Cricetulus griseus: one gene and its partner. The protein of the gene in region 1 purifies or fractionates together with the protein of each later gene. This does not show direct contact. Links are inferred from orthologs where the notes say so. Each region holds a gene or a part of one and is shown on either strand. Other genes may lie near its edges.

Region 1 (3,749 bases):
ACTGATCTGAAACACCCTGTTCTAGGGGAGTGGGGTGCATCTCGGTTGGCAGAGTGCTTGCCTAGCATGTGTGAGCCCCTGAGCATTGATGAACCAGGTATGAGAGCACACGCCTACACTCCAGGGGATGCAGGAGATCAGCTCACGGTTATTCATCCTCACACAGCAAAGCTGAGGCCAGCCTGGCCTACTCACCCAGTTCTGCCCCAACAGGCCTTATGTACATTAAGCTTCCGAGAACAGTGGAACCCAGGTGACAGTGGCACAGCACCACTGTGCCAGGCCACTTAACAAGGACAACACAGCCTGAGGTCCGGCCCCGCCCACAGCATCCTCACTGGGAAACAGTCAGCAACTCTGCTACCCCACCATGGAGCGCTTTCTCCCTCTCAGGCGCACTTCATCTAACTTCTTCAGCACTGGACTGGACTTCCTGGATGAAGCACCATAGCTCTTCAGGCAGGCTTCAAACACAGCCTCGGTGTGGGGGTGGGTGCTGAGGAAGGCCTTCTCCAGGACGTAGAGGTCCACGCCTTTATCTTCTGGCAGTCCAGAAACAAAGCTGAGCCCGAAGTCGATGAGGATGATGTGCAGCTGCTCCAGGGGCCGTTTTAGGAGCATGTTGGAGGTGGTGAGGTCCCCGTGAATGAGGTCTTCATCATGCATCCTAGCCAGGGTCTGCCCAATTCTCCTGGCCAAGCCCAAGAGGCACTGGGGGTCGTTCTCAGTCTCCATGGTGGACTGAATATAATCTCTTACAGTCACTGAGTCTTCGATTTCCTCCATATATAAGCAGTTAGAAGCATAGTCCACGAAGAAGACAACCGGGGCAGCTATCCCTGCAATGGACACACACACGGTTAGCAAGTATTTTCTTTATGAAGGCAGGCTTCATTTGCACGGGTGGAGCCAGGTTTTCAGTCTAAATCTACTTACACTGGAACAGGGTTTAGGAATACTATGGAAATGATATAACCTAGCCCGAAGTTCCCCTGCTCAAGCCCTGCAGGACTATTCCCTGAGCCCAGCCGAGGATACGTCTACAAGTATCAAAGCTTGCTCCCCCTTTCTCAAGTCACCTCAGGAGAGGAATTCACTGCTACTCCCTAAAAACAAAACAAAATGCAAAAACAACAACAAAAACCCCAAGAAGCCAGAAGGGAAAGCATCCTCCAGTCTGAGCAGCTTCGACCTGACTAGCAGGAGGCTAAGCAGCATGCCATCTTAGACTATCTTTGCTCCAGAACAGGCAGGTTCGAATCCCAGCTCCGTCCTTATTAGTTGTGAAACCTCAAGGTTCCATTAGCTTCTCTGTATCTCAGTTTCCGATACCGTCATGGTGGTAACAATAGCTCCAATTAATTCCAGGAGTCTCTCCCAAATGTCAGCTATGTTCAGGACTCTTTCCTAGAAACTAGAGACCTGCCAGTGGGGATCAGTGTAGCCACCGTCCCTGTCTGATAAAACTTATAAAAGAAGGTGAAACAGAAAATATGTACACTACTTTATAACTCCATTAACTCTGCTAGGGCAAGAAAATACAGGCTGTCGAGTTTCCCCAGACTGCCCAGCACCCATCAGAGTCCTGGTGTGGAGTAGACACCTAAAAACCAGCAAGTGTAAAAAGCAAAGGGTCTGTGCTTCTAAGATGCAGACAGCCCTCCTGGTGGCTGTGGAACCTGAGTCACTTTCCCTTTGTGCCTCGGTTTCTCTGGAGGGCAGTTTTGTTAGTTAAAATGTTGTTTTTAAAGAAAAAATGAATCATTTAATGAAATCAGACTTTATTGAATGCTTTGTCAGCATGCAAACATGTGACTCTCAGACCTTCTCTAATGGTCACAACATCCCTGAGATTCCCATCGCATACTAGGAAACTGAGGCGCGCGCGGGGGCGGGACGACGACTCGCTGAAGGGCCACGCGGGAAGCAGCGCTTAGAATCTGAATCCGGAGAGCCTGTCAGGGCACCTGCGGCTTCAAACTACCAAATGGAGTGTGGAGGACGGTGAGCGGAAACGGTAGGAACGGGGAAACTGAGGCGAAACCACGAGATAATAACAGACAGCTGCGGAGCTGTGTGCTGAGTCCTTTAAGCATCGCCGCCCGGCTCCGCCCCCCGGGTCTCAGAGCCCCGCCCCGCCCGTCCGCCCCGCCCCGTCCGCCCCGCCCCGCCCCCGTCCCGTCCGCCTCACCCGCTCGGCGGCAGCGGAGCAGCGCTCGCGCCTCCTGCACCGTCCTCCGCCGGCCGAGCCGCGCCTCCAGCACCGGGTGCCGGTAGCTCTTGGGGAAGCGGTGCTTCACCACGGCCGCGCGGCCCAGGAAGCGGCCGCGGAAGACGCGCGCCTCGGCGCCCTGCTGCACCAGCTCCAGGCCGCTCAGGAAAAGGAGGCTCCGCTCACGCGCTGCCGCCAGCGCCGCCGCCTCGGCCTCCGCCTCCGCCTCCGCCGCCCGCTCCGAGCACGCCGCGGCCATGCCTTCGGCTCGTCCGGACCCTGGCAGCGCCGCTTCCGCTCTCTTCGGAAATCCTCGGGCCTCTTCCGCCGCACGACACCGCCCCCTCCCACTTCCGCCCTGCCGCAGTGGTTCCGCCTGGCGACCTTTCTGAGCTCTGGCTCTAGACCCGACCCGCGGCCTGGCCCTTCCCGAAGCTCTTCGTGTATCTCCGTGAGAGCTCGGCAACTTTCGGTCAACAGTTTCTCACTCTTCGGCTTTCTCCGGAAGCGCGTTGGCGAAGCGCAGGCTTTGGGAGCCTTCTCCAACTTGGAGGCTCTTCTGGGAAAATTATTTTGTGGACACCACTCCTCTTTACTAGGCTCCTTTCCTTTCCCCTTCCTTTTCTTCCTTTTAGAGTCAGGGTCTCGCTGTGTAGCTCAGGTTAGCTTCGAATTCATGATCTTCCCACTTCTGTCTAAGGAAACATGGTCTTTAAGCCCGGCATTAGCGTGTCAGCAGCCAGCATCGTCACTCTGTGTTTGGTTTTCTCATCTTCAGAATGAGGGTGCCTGGTTCTGCTGGGGCCAGAGCTTATCAGAATAAAAGACGACAGTGGCTATGTGATGCTTGTGGACAAGGGCGCTCTTCACATGGTGTCTGACCTCCAGGCCCTGCCCCCACGCTCCTTGGGGTCCTGTTGAAATGCAGAAGAGAGGGACTTTGGACCAGGGTTGCTATGGCACCAGCATCCTGGCTCTGTGGTCCCTGGGTTTCGTTCATACCACAGGACTGTTTTCACACATCAGACCCTTGCGTGGGCATAATGTTTTCCAGCAAAGCTCTCCGAGAACTGGTTCCCTTTATATTCCCCAGTGCTCACGTATGTGGCTTCATTATCATAATTGGTTGTGTCCACGCAGCCATTGCTATGGTGACCAAAACCATCTGAACCCTTGCCTTAGAAACTACAGTGCAAAGACTCTGACCAGAGCCTGGCTTGCCAAGTCAGACTGACCTTAGCTCTTTAAACCCGGATCAAATGTTCAATATCTCGTTGCTGTGCTGAGGCCTGCAGGGAACTCCTGCATCTCTTGTAGACCCTTCCCTCACCAGACACCTCCCCACTCCCCATCATGCTCCCTCTACACAGAGCCTTTGCATCTGCTGTTTCCTCTGGGGAAACATGTTCTTCCAGCCCCTCATGAGCTAGACCCTAGTAGATAGACATCCTTTACTCTCAACTCCAGGGTCACTTCCCAGACAAGCCCTTCCTGACCTCCCTGAGGAGAGGGAGCCCAACTCTTGTTTTGGTTTTTC
Region 2 (3,216 bases), on another chromosome or scaffold:
GGAGCCACATCATACAGGGATCTTATAAACTACTGCAAAGCTTTGGTTTTTATTCCAAGTGCCACTAGAAAACGTTTCAGGGATTGTTGGTTGGTTGATTGTGATAATGGGAATGAAACCAGAACCTTGAAATGCCACATAAATGGTGTACCAAATAAATTCTATCCAATCCACCATGACCTTTTTTATTTTAAGAGTTTTAAAAATGTTTATGTGTATGAGTGTTTGGTCTGTATGTGTGTCTGTGTTTTTTGAGGGTTTTTTGGTTATTTTTTGTTTTTTGTTTTTAGAGGCAGGGTTTCTCTGTGGCTTTGAAGGCAGTCCTGGAACTAGCTCTTGTAGATCAGGCTGGTCTCAAACTCACAGAAATCCGCCTGCCTCTGCCTCCCGAGTGCTGGGATTGAAGGAGTGCACCACCAACGCCCAGCCCAATATACAGGGTTTTAAGCATTGATTTAATCTATACTAGAAATTAGACAGAGTGAGAAGAGTGAGTTGGGCATGGGTAGGATCAAGGAACATTGTACACATGTATGAAATTGTCAAAGAATAAGTAAAAGATATCTTAAATTTGCCAGGAGGTGAAGTTCAAAGCCAGCTTGTTATACAGAGCTAGTTCAAGGACAGCCAGGGCTAATACACAGAGAAGCCATGTTTCGAAAAATCAAGAAAAAGAAAAAGAAAGAAATTAGAAACTTTTGTGGGGGATATGCTGTAGACAAGAAGAAGATCAATCTCAGAGCTTTTGAAGGTGTGATGCAGAGAGAGAGGCTAGACAGATAGTTTAGTGATTAAGAGAACTTGCTGCTTTTGCAAAAGACCTGGGTTAAGTTCCCAGAACTCACATAAAAGTTTACAACCACCCATAATTCCAGTTCCAGTACCCACATGGACAACAGGCACTACACACATGTAAAAACAGGCAAAACATTTATACACATAAAATAAAAATAAATAAATCTTAAACCAGATGGTGGTGGCACACACCTTTAATCCCAGCACACTTGGCAGGCTTGTATCTGTGAGTTTCAGGACAGCCTGGATATCTCTCTCTCTCTCTGCATCCCGAGTGCTGGGACTAAAGGCATCTGCCACCAATGCCCGGCTCCTTAGATCCCTTTTAAAAAGAAACTGAAGGGAAAGCTGGATGTGGTATGGCACTTTGGAGGCTGAGGGAGACTAGATCAATCTCTTAGAGATCCCAACAGAGGCCTCCAGATGGGGACCGACCCAATTTAGCAACTTTGTCGCCCGCCCATTCCCGCAGGTGCATGTGGGATTGGCAGCCTGAGCGAGGGCGGAGCTTCCGGAGGATAAGGCGGGCTCTGGGCCGTAGCGATGGCGGAGGGTGGCTTGGAGGGTGGAGCAGCGGTAGACATGCAAGCAGCACACAGTTTAGGCCACACTGCAGATGGCGCCGATTCCCCGACCAGCTGCTGCTGTCCCGGTGATGCAGGCGCAGTGGCAGTTATTCCCAGTGGAGCTCACCCTGCTGCACGAGCATCGGAAGTCTCCGGTTGGAGCAAAAGCACTGTTCCTTTAACCCAAAGGCCGGGAATCCGACATCATAGATTGTATCCTACCGGACAGGGACAACTGGGTCACTTTAGGGATGCTTCAGGAGGGAAAAGGGGTAGTCTGGAGACGGGGGTGGGGTGGAGGGGAGCAGGGGGACCGGCTGATTGAGGTCTGTTAACCACGGGAGGTCTGGGCATGAGAAGATAACAGGGGGAGGGGAACCGGAGGGTGGAGGGAATGAACAGGAATTGCCCAAGCAATGTGCAAGATGTAGTCTGGGGAGCTTAGACCAGATGAGATGGTTTTAGAGGGCCAAGTAGGCGAAAACGATTCAACATGGTGCCTTTCCTGAGTCTCTACCAGTGCCCTTACAGTGCCTTTCCCGACCTCTTTGGAGGCAGAAATCGCCTGTGGGTCCCTAGCTCCTGATGCCGAACCGCACCGAGGAATCTTGGGGAAAGACCTTAAAGTCAGCGGCTGCATGCTGGAGGTGTAAGTGCTGAAAGAGTCTGGCATGCTGGGTAGGTGGCTGGACTATTCTCTACCCAAGACTGCACTTCCTTAGAGACAGCACACTAGGGTGACTTCTAAGAAGACTCTTGGTGCAGTGGACCAGTCTTTACCTGCAGGATATGGTACAGTGGGAGCCTGAGGGAAGATCCAGAAAGGTAGGAGCCAGGAGGCAGAGGCAGACAGATTTCTGTGAATTCCAGGCCAGCCAGGGCTACATCGTGAGATTCTCTCTCTTTCCAAAATAAATAAGGAAAGAAGGATAAGAATTACTATTTTAAACTTAATATTCTTTTTCCTCACTCTTAGACACTGGATCTCAGAAGACTCTCGCCTCCTCCGAATTTCCATCATGAACTTTCTTGACCAGCTCGCCCTAGTGGTGAACACCATAAAGCGCTTTGGGCCCCCAGTTTCTCGTTAAGCCTGCCTGGGAAAAGGGGCTCAGATCTGACCTTATGTCGGTTCCCTCCAAAGCAGACAATTTTCTGGAAAACATTCCAGAAATAGTACCTGCTACTTAAATGTGGGGCCTAATATTTTTTTGCCTGACTTGGTCCTCAGGCACTTAGGGGCCACTTGTTTAGTTTGGTGCTCAAATGTTGCTGAAGAAAATAAAGCTGTGCTTCTAATCTGTATTTGAGTATTTTCAACCTCAAGATTTTCTTTGTGTTGGAGGAGAGGTATTTGTTGTATAAAATAAGAGTATTCACCTAATGTTGTGAGGTCCTTGATTCAATCCTCAGCAGTGAAAAACTACATTAGTAGAAAGTAGAAGAAGACAATTACAGAAATAGAGGAAAATTAAAAACACAAGCACCCTGTCATTTGGGGCTCACTTTGGGAAACTTTTGGTATTAGAATTTTATCAATATAATAAATGTGTAGCAATATCATGAGGCCCCTCTTCTGAGGAGATATTGGCAGTTTATGGCTGCTGGGGAAATGGAGTTGTTTTTCTTCAGTAGTGTAACCACTGTTAAGTTGCTCATAATTCTGTAAATAACCCCACATCCATGATCATGCAAGCAACCCTAATTAAATTCAGTGAGGCACTAATGAAAGACATGAAAATGGAGATGTAATTGTTAAGAAGAAGGGGTTGAATAGAGGATAAGAAAGGACAATAGGGGATGGATATATTCAAAATATATACATTGTAAACATGTATGAAATTGTCAAAGAATA

What was found.
Region 2: the proteins of Tp53rk (region 1) and Lage3 purify together in Homo sapiens (affinity purification with mass spectrometry; 5 studies listed by BioGRID and IntAct, with this or other methods). This does not show direct contact. The link is inferred for Cricetulus griseus from reciprocal best matches to the Homo sapiens genes TP53RK and LAGE3.

The regions. Positions count from the first base shown.
Region 1 is NC_048599.1:13,921,250-13,924,998, reverse strand, and holds the start of Tp53rk (EKC/KEOPS complex subunit TP53RK), read right to left. Parts: upstream 2,524-3,749; 5' UTR 2,472-2,523; coding exon 2,192-2,471; intron 840-2,191; coding exon 361-839; 3' UTR 1-360.
Region 2 is NC_048604.1:1,362,714-1,365,929, forward strand, and holds Lage3 (EKC/KEOPS complex subunit LAGE3), read left to right. Parts: upstream 1-1,304; 5' UTR 1,305-1,338; coding exon 1,339-1,574; intron 1,575-1,881; coding exon 1,882-2,010; intron 2,011-2,337; coding exon 2,338-2,452; 3' UTR 2,453-2,666; downstream 2,667-3,216. UniProt on the Homo sapiens protein: Component of the EKC/KEOPS complex that is required for the formation of a threonylcarbamoyl group on adenosine at position 37 (t(6)A37) in tRNAs that read codons beginning with adenine.